Linked DNA regions of Rhinolophus ferrumequinum. The protein of the gene in region 1 binds, or shares a complex with, the protein of each later gene. Links are inferred from orthologs where the notes say so. Each region holds a gene or a part of one and is shown in the gene's direction. Other genes may lie near its edges.

Evidence for each region. The genes of interacting proteins can lie anywhere in the genome.
Region 2: the proteins of RAI2 (region 1) and CTBP1 are in contact, whole or in part, in a cryo-EM structure (PDB 8ARI), measured with the Homo sapiens proteins. The link is inferred for Rhinolophus ferrumequinum from reciprocal best matches to the Homo sapiens genes RAI2 and CTBP1. Residues at the interface, in NP_001166210.2 of Homo sapiens: Glu315, Ala316, Leu317, Asp318, Leu319, Ser320, Met321, Lys322, Trp326; in NP_001319.1 of Homo sapiens: Arg36, Cys38, Met42, Val51, Ala52, Phe53, Cys54, Asp55, Gln57, Gln60, Glu61, His63, Val66.

What each region holds. Positions count from the first base shown.
Region 1 is NC_046284.1:113,086,714-113,094,566, forward strand, and holds the start of RAI2 (retinoic acid-induced protein 2), read left to right. Parts: upstream 1-4,848; 5' UTR 4,849-5,088; intron 5,089-5,359; exon of another isoform or gene 5,360-5,677; intron 5,678-7,853.
Region 2 is NC_046288.1:87,554,581-87,562,068, forward strand, and holds the start of CTBP1 (C-terminal-binding protein 1), read left to right. Parts: upstream 1-4,482; 5' UTR 4,483-4,591; coding exon 4,592-4,631; intron 4,632-7,488. UniProt on the Homo sapiens protein: Corepressor targeting diverse transcription regulators such as GLIS2 or BCL6. Has dehydrogenase activity. Involved in controlling the equilibrium between tubular and stacked structures in the Golgi complex.

The sequences.
Region 1 (7,853 bases):
GAATTTACCCATAATGCCCCCAGCAAATCTCTCCTGTTGTCTACTTGTTCCAAATTATAGTAGGAGGGGTGCCATCTGCTTCAGATCAAACAGACACCACCTTAAAGCTACGATCAAATTCTAAAGTGCATGTTTTTGTAGGAAAGGGATGGATACCTGAACAACACTGGGGTTCTGTTAAAAAAGAGGAATGGGGAATATAGAATGGAGCCATTTATAATGAACCTATTTTTTACTCTTGACAATTTCCCAAAATTCTCTGAAATGAAATGCTTTCCTGATTATGAGACTAGACAGAGCTACAATTGGACTATGAGAGACCAGTGTAGGGCAGGGCCGATACTTTATTACCCTGTGTGTTCTCACATGTACTACTAATTTACTACTGTAAATTAATAGCTGCTCGAGATATGTTTGTTGATTGCCTAACTGAAGGACGAACTGACATATCCTTTGATTCAATCTTTGCTAAAATTAGCGAAGATTTCATATGAATTCTTTTATACACTTTGGATAAAATCAGGACATAATACAGTTCATATGAAGTCTCCAAATGAAGAATATTGAAGCCCCCATGCCAACCACATTAGAAGTCTCTGTTCTATCAAAATTGTCAAAAACTTTCCCTTATCCCATGGACTCTGAATATTCTTCAGGTTAAAATGTCATTCTCACTGGCCTGTTTCTCTGAATGCTTTCCATCCTTGTTCCCTGAGCCTGGGTTTCATTTCAATCCTCTGTGATTTAATTACCCCTTGTATTTTCCCAGCATTTATCCCTTTGCATTGTGATTATGTTTTTAAATGCCCACTTCAGTCAGTCACTCAGTCATCCAGTAAATATTAGTGGCCACCAAATTTTTTCAACTTTAGTGAAATACAGACCCTTTAAGAATTTCCTGAAAGCAACAGACGCTTTTCCCCAGACACATTCATACCCATGAGCCCTAAATTGGCATTACAACTTCAGGGCTTCCAGGAACTCCTAGAGAAATTGGCAATGATGTTCGTGCAGATAAGATCAAATCATGTTGTCATGGCCCAGGGTGACGGGCTCAGCCATCAACTTAAGTCACATATGTCTTCTGCAGAGCTCATCCACACCCACTGACTGGTTCAACAAACACCCATGGCCCAACAACTCCCAAATCTAGGTCTCCAGCTTAGATTTTGACCTCCACATCTGCTCTTGCAAATGCCTACTGGACTTCTCTCTGTGGCTACCCAACAGGCACTTCCAACTCAAAATGTCCTAATCAGAATTCCCTGGAGCAAACACTGACAGTGCTCTACCCACATCCCTCGGATGCTACCATTTCAGTGTGTTCCACAGACCTCCAAGCTGCCAGCCAGGATCCTCTCCCGATATCTGAGAAGGACTCTCTGCCTATGCCAGGTGGCAAGTTGAAATTCCCAGAAAATTAGCATCCTCTGGGCAGCCCTCAACCAGCTTCCTCACTTCTTGAGTGGGACAATTCTGGAGTGCATGTTTTGCATCGTGTCCAAGAGTTTGCTTGCGAGATTAAGCTCCACTTGCTCATGGTAGTAATGGGCCGTGAAAACATTCCCCCTATTGTCTGCTGCCCCCCTGTCTCCCTTCCCCATTACCCTACCAGTGTTTCCTTCACCTTCCAAATCAACTTTCTGCACTCAAATCCTTATCTCAGGATCTGCTTCTGGGGGAATCTATGGCATTCATCATTTCCAGTCCCAAATCTGCTTCTCTTCCTAGGGACCCCTATCTCAGTGGCCACACCCCACCCCCCTGTTACCCAATTCAGAAAGCCAGGCGTCAGTCATTCTAATCCTTCCTGTTTCCTCCATCATTAAGTCCTGTTGATTTTATTTCCTGAGTACCACTTAAGTTCTGACCCTTCATCTCTGCTGTCACTACCTTCACTCCAACTCTGATCATTGACAAAATCTCTCTCACCTGGTCTCCCTGCTTCCAAGCTTACCCTCTCCAATCAGCCCTTCACACCCCCCAGGGGAGCGATCATTCCTCAACCCGAATCTTTCCTGGTCACTCACTCCCTTGCTTCAACTCTGTCAATGGCTCCCCATTGACTTTAAGAAAAAACTCCTTTACAGGACAGACCAGGGACCTCAACTGACTCCTACCTACCTCTGCACCCCCTACTACTATTCTTCACAGCCTCTACTCTACCTTCACAAAATATTTGCAGCCTCCAGAAAGTGCTTTGCATCCAAGCATTGGTGCCTGCTGTTCCCGTCACTTGTAATGCCTTTCCCTTAACTTTGAAAAACTCCTGTTCATCTCTCAATGCTCAGCTCTTGTCACCATCTCTGTGCAATCTTTTCTGACTGCCCTGCCCCATGCCATTCCCTATGCCTTCTCAGTACAAGGGTAGGCCCACTTCTTCGGTGTTCACCTGGCTGATTTTATAACTCTTCATGTACCACACAGTCTCCATAGTATTATTAACACTTTATTTACTGGACTGTGAGCTCCTTGGGGTCAGCAACCCTATGTTAAACATCTCCCTAACCATAGTCCTTAGCTCAGTGACTGGCATACATCAGGTGCTTAATAGATGTTCATTGGATAAATGAATGAATCACACATCTGGCAAGTATGCAAAAACTAGATTAGGAGGCGATGCTGTATTAGAGAAATAGGACAGAGACAAAAGAATCAGATCTGAGATAGGAAATTTCTTGAGTCCAAATATTAGAATTAAAAATCTCAAAAATCAACCTGAGCAATGAAGTTTTTGTTTGTTTATTTGTTTGTCTGTGGTTCTTTCCTGCTGTTTGGGATGTCCTTTCTTCCCTCCATTTTCTTAGGCATCCCTTAAAACTGTGTAAATACAATTTTTCCATGTCCTATTTCTGTCTGAAAACATCTCCCTCCCAATCCAGACCCTTTCTTTATGGACTCCTCTTTTCCCCTTCCCTCTGCAAGGGTTGTCACGATGAAAATACAGAGGGGTGCCACTGTACATTTCTTTGGGAATAGGGGCCATGATGCCTGTTTATTATGCATTAATCTGAATCAATATAGTCTTTCCTCAAAACATAAGCACCTCAAAGGGCAGCAAATATGAATCACAACTGCCAGCGAGGATCAAACATTAACCCAGGGTTGTGATGAGGCCAACAAAAGAAATAGGCTAGTAATTGCCTTCCAGGATATCAGTCCCTACCGTATACACACATACCCCCTCAACACACACAAAACCTTTATGAATCTTTCATCCATGAACTTGTCCCATTATAATTACCCAGCTGTGTCTTTAGTTGTATTCAGGCTAGGTCCTGGCGACGGAGCCCTCACATACCTGATCCAAGGGCTCAGAACAGTTATGAGAGCCATAGAGGAAGTCTTTGGTTACCGAAGTGGTTGAAGACATATAACAGACAAATATTTCCATTGGTATCATTAGTTACTCAGAGCTGATTTAAAACCCCAAGAGCCTGATTGAAACAAGTAGGATGTGGTACCTTCTGTTGATGTTCATTATTATCAATTCTTAAACTTGAACTGTGTGTCTTTCTGCCCTTATGTTGATTGGGCACTTCTTAAATTAACTCTTTTTTTCAAGAGGAAATTCTGTATCAAGGAATAGTACCACCAGGGCTGACTTCTCTGTTAGCGGCAGTAGGCACAGTGCCTGGGGCCCACAGTCCTTTTAGGGGCCCACGGACATGTTTTAATTTCTTTTAAAATCAGAAGAAAAAGTGATCTTTTAAGTAGAAGAAAATGTTTTAGTATATCATGTTAATATATTCGTCTTTACACTAATGCAATTGAAAAATGTAATCTTTACTATTTTTTTAATGGAGGAACGCATCCACAAAGGCAACGTGCCCACGAAAATCATAATGTGGCCCTGCTTTCTACCATATTATGCTTATAAAACAGCAAGGTTCAAACAGAACCTTTCAAACACAAGTTCAGCTTCCCATACAAATTATAAACTTAACCAGGCTTCTCTCTATGTATTTCACACTCTGGTCGGCCACCCCAAATTCTATAATACAAGAGGGATATCATGGTTACCACTCAGTGTTGGGATTAAAGGACATATGAACATGCAAAGGACAGGTAGATTCAGACTGCTTTCTGCTCCGATTAAAGTCATGTCTGCTCTGCTGTTCTCTCAAATATCTTCATCCTGTTTTGATTAGCAGGAAACAAATCTACATCTTTGGGGATCAATTAAACCAATGTAGTTGCTTCCTTTGCTGTCTTAAAACATTTATAGGATTTAGGTTTTTTATTTTGTTTTAAAATGATCAATAGTACTGCTGATACCTATGATTTATTTACTGGTTAGTAAACCATATATTCATCATCTCTGTCTGTAACTCCAGTTCTTAGCCCTGTGTCTGGGAAACAGTAGGGGCTTAATAAATGTTAGATTCATAAATGAATCACCTCTCAAACAATTACGTGGAAATGAGATTATTGTCCGTGGACTAATTTTGTCTCTAATAATCTCACACTTCGTGAGAAGGATCTTGGACATGTATGACAATTGACATTTTAGGAGGTGATCCCTGGGCCCTTCCCACCTCTCCGGCCTCCATCAGCCAGCCACTTTCTCCCTCCTGGGCTCTGTTCTCACTCCTCTCCATCCTGGGATCTGGAATGGTCCTAGCCCGCCGGCCCTCCCAGGCGTCTCACCACCCCCACCCGGCACCCCGCGCCCCGGGTGCCCCTTCCACCAGCCACCCCTCGCCTCCTACAACCACGCCCTCCCCGTGGGCGAGATCACCTGTCCCTCCTCCGCCACCGCCTCCTCGGGTACCCTTTCGCCCCCCTTCTACTCCCCCTCCTCCGCCACCTCCCCCAAGCCCTCCCCTGCCCCGCCTCCTCCCACCCCTTGGTGTATATAGTAAAGGCTGGGCTCCGCACGCAGACACACACTCGCCCGGACACAGGCGCACACACGCTCACGCACAACCGGCAGCGGCGGCGGCGACAGCAGCTCCGTGACAGCGGCGACGGCGGCTCCCACCGCTGCGCATCCTCTTCAGGCGGCCGGCGGCGAGGCCGGACCCGAGAGTTCCCGCACCCGCGACCACCCTGCGGCTTCCTGGAGGCGGCGGCTGCGACTGCGAGGTACCGGCCGCGGAGCCCCACTACGGGTCGGGGTCCCCCCCGCCCTCCCCGGGCGGACCTGCCACTGGACGCAGGGGGCGCGCCGCGCTGGGCGCGCCTGGCAGGGCCCGGCGCCCGGGGAGGGGCCTGCTCCTGGGGGCAGGACGGCGCCCGGAGGCCGGGGCCAGCGGGGAGGGCCGGGCGGGGGCGGGGACGCACAGGCTGAGGCCGCCACCCGTGCGGCGTCCCCGGGTCCCGCTCCCGCTCCCGGCGCCGCGCACTGGCCGGCGGGGCCGGGGACGGCCGGGGAGGCGGCGCCGGCCGGCGGGGCGGGGGCCCCGAAGTGGGTTTCGGGCCGCCACCAGCGCTGGCACCCGGCGCAGAGGGCGGCGCGCGGCAGACTCCGCGCCTGGGCACCGCACGGGGCCGCCTCTGGCTCTGCCGCTCTGCCCCGGCCCGGAAAACCCGGCGCCTTCCAGGCCCTTCGAAAGATGGATTCTGTTGACGTATCTGGCGGCCCTGGAGAGCCGGGTGGAAAGTTGGGTTTTGCCAGATCGCGTTGGGCTCGCCTTTGTGACGCTCGGCCAGCCCCGCAACCTCCTGGAGCCGGGTGAGTGTGCGTCGGCGCCCCGAACGCCCTCGTGCCCCCCAATGTTCAGACCCAGGGTGGCCGCAGCGGCTCAGGCTTTCTGCCATGTTAGGCACCGAGCAGCGTTCTCGCTGCATTTTTGCGTGCGTTTCCGCGATGTCTTTTGCTGCGGAGGGAGTTATTGCTTGTCGCCGCGTTGGCTTTTTCGGGGTTGGGGTTGTGCTCTGTGTGTTTGCTTGTTTGCCGTTTAAAGCCCGACTATTGTTCCGGATATGCTCCGCCTGGGTGGGGAAATGGCATCCCACCACAGTTGCCGGCGAGGGGTAGAAATGTTGCCAAACAGCTGCTGCTTTGTGTTTCCCTATCAGAAGTCCCTGGAGTAGGTTTGGGGCACGACGGATGGATGGAGAGAGGGATGGGGCACGGAAGAAGAAGGTGGCTTTGGAGAAGCGAATTGTCACCCACCCCGTGGCACGCAGTCAACCTCCTTTTCTGCCTGCCAAACTTTTATGAATATTCCTTTTGTGGCACGGTGAAGCTTAATGAATTCAGCCCAGTTTTCCAGGGAAAAGCAACCCGGCTTTAACAATGGTTTGAGAACTTAATCAATGAGAAAGGCAGGGGGAGACGGAGGAGGCGCAGACACCATATCGGGGATGTGGCTGCTTCTAGCAGAGTCAGGTGGGGGAGAGGTGGGCAGGGCAGGGCGCAGCGCCGGGGTGGCCGCGTTCCGGGAACTATCCATAGCTCTTACCTGTGCTGGCGGAGCCACCCTTAGTCTTGCCCCACCACCTCACCGTCCGCCCCGAACTCGGCGACGGTGCTTGAGGGGCAGCTTGCGGCAGTGCGCGGGCTGGCCCCCCTCATCTGGCGTTTTTAAGGATGTGTAAATATTTTGCTGAGGATAAGTGACATCAACAGAATGATATTCCGCAGAGCCCGGGTGTGCAGCGATGATAAATAGATACGGCCAAACAAAGTTTTGATAACCGCGAATTCTCATGGCTCGCTCTGTTTCATTTGAGTCTTTGTTTTTGTTGGTTTAGCATTCTCTCTCCTCCTCTGGTGTGATCCCTTTATTTAGCTGAGTCTTGGAAGCTTCTCTTTAGAACAGAGAGAAAAGCAGCCAGCAGGGAGAAAGCAATTCTTAGCCTTGCGTGCATAGGGCAAGGTTTGCTGGGCTTTTCCCAGGGGATCTTTCCCACCGTTTTCTAAATGTCCCTCTTCTTCCTTTGGAGTAATCAGAATTGGTTGTTGCTTGACCAAGAGACTTCTGATAACTTTGAAAATGTGTGGTGATGTGCCTTTGTTACAGTAGACGGGTTCCAGTGTGGGTAGAGGACAGTGGGGAGGCCAGTGGGTGGGAACTGCTTGCGCGGGAGCAGCATTATGCCCCCACCCACTTGTTTTCTTCTCAAAAGGGAACATGGGGAGCTGTGCCACTTTCAGAAGCTGGGGATGGGCTGCAAGGTGCACATTCATAAGCCCGGTGGCATCCCAGTTTCTCTGCCTCTGAGAAGCCCAGAGAGGCCGTCTACTGCCGCACCCCCCTCCCCCACACACACATACACAATATCTTCCAAATGGGCACTTTCGTTTCATCCTATAAGATACCCACTAGAGGCGTCAGCAAGGCGGCCAGGGCACAGTGAACCAAATGAGACTGGAACTTGGGATACTGGCTGCTTTGGCACCAGCACCGCTCAGCCCTGGCTGGGGAGCCTTTATAACGTAAAGAAGCCCCCGACCTCCAGCAGTGAAGTTCCGCCCAGGAAAACCTGCCCATCTCGGGATTAAAAGCGAAAACAGCTTTCCCCGTGATGCCAGTTGCCAGTGTGAGAACTTGGTTGGTGGGCAGTTGGGTAAGCACTGCAAAATAAATAAAACGTCTGGTAGCCCAAAAACCAGCCTCCAAGATGAGGCCTCTGAAAGGCAGGAAAGAAAAAGAAAAGGACGGGAGGCGTTGAGGAGGTGTCGCTGGGAGTGCCATAGCACCGAGAGAGAGCTACAGCACTAGTTCCAATGACCAGAGAACTGGATGAGACTGGCCTCCCCCAATCCATTGGACCCAGCATGGAGATATTCTGGATGTGGAGATAGTCACATACAGTGTGCTCTGAGTCTCCAGTCAGAAATACCAAGTGTCTATTCTCTTGCTCCTTCTCTAACCTTAGATTTGGGGAAGGAGGGTAGTGCA
Region 2 (7,488 bases), on another chromosome or scaffold:
TGTGAGCAACAGCGGGGGGTAGGGGTGGTGGGGGGTGGTGTCTGGGGCCCATGCCGCCCGTCTTTCCAAAGAGCCAGTTTTTGGTCTTGTGACTCCTGGGTAACATGGGCTTTACTCCCTAACTTTTCATCCACAATCATGTCTTTGTTTCAGCCTTTCTCTTTCCGTGGGTTTACTCTGCAATTCCTCATTTCTTGAGTTGGACGTGAGATGCCTCTTTCCACCTTCCTTATCTCCCACAGTCCACACACACACACGTCCAGGACAGAAGCTCCCTCAAGTCTGGCTTGGCTGCCCCGTGGACATTTCCATGTAGTGTTTCTTTGTTGTCGGCTTCTAAATGCTTTAAACTCATTTTTTTGAAGCATGAGTCAAATATAGTTTATGGCTCTACATTTCCAAATGTTTGGTTCTATTATCTTAGTTTTATTGTCATTGCATTTGGTTGGAGAACACGATCAATATAGGTTTTTGGTATTTTGCTGGGACTGGTTTTGTGGCCGTGTCATGTAGCCATCGTTGGTAAACATTCCATGTGCTTGAAAATGATGAGTTCTTTAATTTGGGGGTGCAGGGTTTCTGGTCCTCAGTCTGCACACCAAAACCGGTGTCCCCACCTGGGCCAGTGGGGACAGCAACCTTCCTGGCTGGCGTTGCGTGCAGTGATTTGGAACGGACTTTTGCTCCCACACATGGCCAGCCCAGGAGACACCAAGTTAAATTCACAGCCATGTGTGGAGCCCCAGGAAGAAGCATTTGTTCATCCAATGCGTTAGTGATTCTTTGTGGATGTGCTTGTCCCGCGTGGCGCTGAGGCCGACACCACTCAGTGACCGGGGCCTGGCTTCCTGAGCTGGGTGGCTCTCCAGCAGCTGGAGGGCTGGCTGCGTCCTTGGCAGGGCAAGTGGGCACTGAGCACCTGTTTGCAGGCACGTGGCCGGCCCCAGGTGCAGGAAGAGGATGAGCAGGCCACCTGCACAGATGCAGGTCGGCTGTTGGCGCCTCCCAGCGGGCAAGCCGGGTGCAGAGCTGTGCCTGCAGAGAGCTGTGGCGCTAGTGTGGCCAATATGGTCATGCCTGGGTCTCGGAGTCACAGCTGTAGTCACGTGTGGGGAGCACACAGAGTTCTGGGGCTGCAGCCCCAGTGCTGGAAAGCAGCGCTTGGGGACAGTGGGACGGGAGGTGGTGCAGGCACCAGAGGAGCCAGGGAAGCAGTGACGAGGCCTGCTGGCTGGCTGCATGGTGAGGCTGTGGGAGGCAGAGCTGAGGGAGGTGCTGGGTACCTGGCCACGGTCACCTCTCCCTCTTGGTTGCACCTGTGAAATTCCTTGGAGCTCCACTGCAGCTGCAGAATGAACTTGCGTGTGCAATGGAAGAAGTGTGAATTCTGGCCAGGTCCCCTGCTTCTAGGTGGTCCCATCTGTTGCACACTCAGGCATCTGACAGCCGTTCCTGCTCAGCAAGTACAAGTCAGAATGTGAGTTGTGGGTTTCTCCCCAGCTGACCCACCGGCCCCGGGTCCCTCAGCACGGAGCATATGGCCTGATTCTAGCTGTGAAGAATGGAGTGGCCAGGCCCCCTCTGTCCCAGCCCCCTGCAGCCTGGTGGCAAGTCCTCCAGGCCCTGCCACCTTCAGCTGCTGCTGACCGTTTCCGGAGGGGGGGTTCCCAAGTGGGGTCTCTGCCCTGTGCACCCCACCATTCACATCACCCCTTCTGGCAGCCAAGAATAGAAGCCAAGGCCCTGACCCTGCTGTCTCTCCATCTCCTCCAGCTGCAGCCCTCTGTCCCTTGCACCCACGCCAGGACTTTGAGTTTGCTGCTCCCTTTTCTGGAATGTTCTTTTCCCAGACTTCTGTAGGTATGGCCCTCCCCCATCAGGACTCCATGCCTGTCCTCTCCTCCACGACCCCACTGGGCCCCACTGTCAGGCCCGTCAGCCCCAGTGCTCAGATGACCCCTCCGGGGTCTCCTCTCAGCACAGCCCCAAGCCAGCATAGGGGGGCCAGTGGGCCCACAGGACACCCTGGGCCTTGGTGGTGGTGACAGTGGGAAGCCAGCAAGGGTGCCTTGTCCGAGCATTGTCAGTGCCACTTCAACTCAATGACAAGCTGGATCCTAGGCCGCCTCTCAACGCCACAAGAGAGACGGGTTGTTTTGCAGTGGCCATGACGCTCCCCCAAGAACCACTGAGCGAACAGCACTAGCGTCTTACAGCAGCTGATGGGGTGGAAGCGCTGCATGAGCTCGCACTGATTGCCGGCTTACAAACCGTTCAGCTGTCTGGACAACATTGCAGACGACCCAGAATGACTAGAAGACAAAGGACCTCTAGTTCTCCACGGAGAGAAAAGAAAAATATTAACTTCTGGTGTTGGAAAAATTCTCGCATTCCTTAAGGAAAGAAGTGGGGATGCAGGTACACCACCTCTGGTGACCTGGAGGGAAGGTCCGGTCTCTTCTGGAAAGGAGAGGCACACCGCGGTAGTCGTGGGCTAGACTCTGTGGCCACAGTCTGAGCTTGCTTCATGGAGGCAGAGCTCAGGTACCAGGCGCTTCCTGGGCACAAACCCAGGTCCAGCTGAAGACCAAAGGGTGGGGGCTCCTTCCAGATGATCTCTCCTGGGAGGGGGCAGCTCCACCAGGAGGTGACAGCTCAGTGGTGTCAGGCAGGGCAGAGATGGGCTTCCCCTGGCCTACTCACCTGCCTGCCCCAGGCTGTCTGCAGGCCAGTTCTCTGAAGGGAATTCAGGGGCCTCAGGACCACACACACAGGTGTGGGGACAGTGGAAGGGTATCTAACTGATCCCTCGGTATCTAACTGATCCCTCGGTCCTGTCCCAGAGGCTGTGGCACCGCTGGCCAGGAGGACCGAGGAGGCATGCACGGGACGGCTTGCTCAGAGCCATGCATCGATCCTTCCTGTGGCTCCACCGAGCAGGTTTCCACCTGGAATACATGTGGCTGGGGGAACAGAGACCCCTGTCCTCGGGAGTGGGCAGTGCGGTAGGAAGACAGCCCAGACTGAGAGGAAACCCCTGTACTGGACACAGGGTAAGGAGGAGGAAGTGGCCATGGGAAGAGCAGGGGAAGGCAGCAGAAATGGCGTGTGTGGTGGCCCTGTGACAGCCGGGAAGAAGGGCCATGTGGCTGGAGAGTGGGAGGTTAGAGGGAGAAGGGTGCAAGAGTGGGGGCTCTGGCTGTGACAGGAAGCATGGATTTCCTCTGTAGTGCGACGGGAATCCTTAAAGGGTTTTGAGCAGGGGGTCACAGTCTGATCTACATTCTGGGAGCAGTCACAGGGGTGAAATGATGTGGGAGAGCCTGCTCTGGGCAGCTGTGAGATGGCAAGAGCGGGTAGCAAGGGGCAACCTAGATCTCAGCACAGGAGGTGCTAAGGCAGGACAGGAAGAGGGCCAGGAGCTGGCTCAGGCCAATGTTTGGGGAGTAATCTTCTGAGAAAATGGGGGTGGGGGGTGACACACACCCTGGTCTGGAGTTTTGATCTCTCCCTCCTGGTTCCTTTTGAATCTGCATTCAGAAAAGTTCCCTAAGAGGTTTGCCACATGCTTACATCCCGCTTTCTCATTTCTCCATGTGTTCCAATTAATCCAATTTGGAAGGTATTTTTACAGGTGAGTACTAAGTGGGAGTTTAAAAGTACTTGTTTTCCAAGTAGATACCCAGTTCTCCGTCATCCTTTGTTGGATCCCCCACATTTCCTCACTGATGTACGAATTATAAAAGCGAAGACAACAGGACTGATTTCAGGGTGGCCACGCGGCCTGCAGAACTGCACCAACAGCTCAGTGCCGGCCACCGCAGACGTCAGGGTGCCTGGGCCTGCGGCTCTGGCCTGCGGTTCCTCCGCATCACGGATCACCTCGTCTTGGGGACCGAAAACTCCCTTGAGGGCCGGGGTGCCCTCTGGACTTCTGGAACTAAGCACCAGTCACTCTCTAGGGCTGGGGTCGGTGTCCAAACAGGCTGGGGTGAGGACTCCGCTTCAGTCACCCCGGTCACCTCTCCGAGAGCCCCAGCCCAGGCCTGGGAAGCCCGTGTGCTCTGGCTTCAGTGTCTCAGAGCTGGTTCCCTTGCAGCAGACTAGGAAAGCTCGTCTAGGAACTTCCTGTCCAGGCCGCCTCGCCTGGGCAGGCGCAGCCCGGCGGCTGCGTGTGCGGGGCAGGCAGGTGTGCAGGTGCCTGAGCGGGGCAGGCGCGGCCAGCGGGAGTGAGCATCGAGGCCCGGCCTGGCAGATATTGGTGCAGGGCAGGTGCGGCGCGGGCAGCCTGGCTCCGGGAGGGGGCGGGCGGGGCGGGCGGGCGCGGCCTGCAGCCGCCCGCGTGGTGCTGCGCGGCGCCCGCGCCGGGAAACAGGAGGCCGCTGGGCCGGAAGCCCCGCCCGCGCGCGCGCGCCTGTCCCCGCCCGCCCGGTGGAGCGGCTGCTGGCGCGGCGCGGCGCTGCTCGGCACGGCGGCGCCCGGGCGCAGGCGAGCGGGCAGATCAGCGGACGGCGCCCAGGCCGCCCCAGGCGCCGGGCTCGCGGCGGAGCGCGCCGGACTCGTCGAGGCCCGCGGCCGCCCGCGCCTTTCAATGGGCAGCTCGCACTTGCTCAACAAGGGCCTGCCGCTCGGTAAGGCCGCGCGCGCGCATTTCCGGCCGCGGGGGCGGGGCGGCGGGCGGGGCCGCCGGCTTTGTGTGCGAGTGCGCGTGCGCGCCGGCGTCCGCGCGCCGCCGGGCCGGGGGCGGGACCGAGGGCGGGGCCGGGCCGGGGAGCTCCGAGCGCGTGCGCGGGCTGCTGTGTGCGAGTGCGCGTGCGCCGGCGCCGCCGTCACGCCCGCCGCCCGCGCAGGTGACACAAAGGGGCGCCGGACCCCGACCCTGTGGACCCTCGGCCCACCGGCCTATCGCATTCTGGCTCCGTGACTCCCAGTCGGACCCCCGGATCCTGGCTTCCCCAGACCCACGGTGCCCAGACCGCGGACCCGAGGGTCCCACTCCCCCGGACCTCCCGGCCCCACAGACCCCAGATCCCAGGCCCCGGGTTCCCGGTCCCCCACCAGACGCCCGGTTCCCCAGATCCCCGGTGCTCGACCCCGACCTCAGACGTGCGGTGCCCAGCGGGAGGGCCCTCGGCCCAGTGTGTCCTGCTTGGGCCACAGGTCTTGTGTCAGTGAGACGGGCTCCGCTGCTTCGTTTAAGTCACTTCCTGTTGTAAATACTCCCCCAGGGCTTCAGCGGGCGGGGGAATGTCACAGACTCGGGTGGCGCACGATGAGATCAACTACACGCAACTTGCTTTGAAAGAAATGAAAAGCTCTCGCGTGTCCTGAAGATGAACTGCGTTTTGGCCCAGTGGGGGCTCTGTCCCTGCCCTTGGGGGCTCCGCGGGCCTGTCTCCTGTGGAGGCGCCGGGGGCCGCCAGGGTCTGCTCGCCAGCCGGTGGCCAGGATGCGGATCTGCCTGGGACGGCGAAGCCCTTAAGCTGGAGGGTTTTCTGTGGGGACAGGCGCTCGGCAGGCGTTTCAGTGGTGCTTGCTTCTGCAGCCGGCTCTGTACGGCCTTTGGGATGTTCCGTCCGTTTCTAAAAATGTATAAAATTATAAGGTCTAGCTGGTGGGGAGGGCAGCCCTTCCCTCGGTGGCTTTCAGCGGGACAGCTAGGGCACAGTCCTGTGGCGTCCTCGTGGTCACAAAGGGGGGGCCAGGGGCCCCCACACAGCAGTGCGGCCAGAACTCAGCACACTGCACTCCCTTCCTTGAGCCAGTCGTTTCCACCTCAATAATTCAAGAGATTTGGACCCAGTTCTGTTTGTCACAAGGCACCTGCCCCCCTTGTGTTTGAAAGATGTCAGACAAGGGTCCTCGCTGGTCTCTGGGCAGCACGGGGGAGGGGAGCCCAGGGCCTGGGCCTGTGGGGGAGCAGGCTGGGTTGGGGACCCCCTCTGCTGGGAGCTGGCCTGATGGTGGCCCCATGCCTGCTTTCGCATCCTGCCCGGCTGCCGGTGGCCATCTTGCATGTGCTGCAATCCTTGTCAACTTCCAGCCAGCGTGGGCTGGGGCCTGCTCGTGGGAGGGGCTGTGCGGTCTGCACGTTCTCCTGCACCCTGTGCCGGGTCCGTCAGCCCCTGGCTTCCTCTTCCCAGCCCCCCTGCCCCTCGCGGTGCCCTTGGAGCCCACAGAGTTTGGCACTGGGGGCCTGTGGGAGGGAGGGGCTGTGACTGCACCTGAGCCAGTGGCTGGAGGCTGGAGCTTTCTCTGGCTGGTGCCCAGGCCTGCCCTCTGCCTGCCTGCTGAGAAGCCAGGGTGCTGTCTCTGGGATCCCCAAGGGACCAAGCCGCGGGAACCTGGCAGGGAGCCAGACCCTGCACAGTGATGCTCCCTGATAGGTCAGGACAGACCGACCTTCGGGTTGGGGGAGGGGAACCGCCACCACAGAGAGGTGCACAGCTTGCTTCTCCTCTGGTGAGCTGACTGAACTGCAGGGTCAGGTCGCAAATGGGGGCCCAGGGCCTTTTCTCCCCATTCTCCAGGACCCCTCCATTCTCCTCTTCAAAGTAGCAACTTCATTTGCATAAAAACATACTCAGCAGAAAGCCAGCCCCCAGCATGTGGAGCCCACCCACCCTTGCGAGCTCCTGTCACATAATCGGGGGACCTTAAATGTTTTCTGAGCAACCCCAGACACTAGTGAGCAGCTCTCTGTAGGAGAAGGCCTTTGGAGTTCAGAGGTAGGTCTGTCCTTGGCCCCCCACCAGTGCTTGGTGGGGGCTTCCTTTGGGCCAGCAGTCCCCAAGCAGAGTGTTGGGCCTTGATGGGACTTTTCTCTGCTGACGGTTTGTCACCTGTCCTTGGAGTTTCCTGTGTGAGCAGGCGCTGGGGATGTCCTGTTTGAGTAGCAGGGCCCAGCTCGTCAGTGCTGACACCTTTGGCCTCAGCCCTGCTGTTGCCGAGACCCCCTTCCAGGTGGGTCCTGTGGCTGACAGGGGCGTCAGAGGTGTGGCGTCCTGAGCTTTTTATCTGGTAACAGCTCTCCTAGAAGACTCAGTTTCCCCACTGGTGGCATGAAGGAGGACTGCTGGCCCTCACTCTGTGGGTCGCCTGGCTCAAAGCCCTGGGTGGCCCTGCCCCCAGGACAGGAACTCACACCCCAGGGCAGGGACCATCCCCTCCAGAAGCTGAGCTTCAGACCAGCCCATGGGCCACGCCCTAGCGTGGGCCTCCTGTGGCCGCCCCTATAGGCCCGGGTCTTGTGAGAGGAAACATCCATAATCCTGCAGACCTGGAAAACTCAGGGGCCTGTCACCACGCGGGACGACAAGGGGTGGCTCTTAGTGCTGTTGTGTCTGCCATGTCATCCTTAGGCAAGTGGTCCCTTGTGTCCCCTGTCAGCCCTGGAGCCAGGGTGGGGGAGGGTGACAACCTGATGGGACTGGAACCTGGGACCCTTCTGAAGGAATCCCAGCGGACCAGTTAATGGTGGGGCAGTGC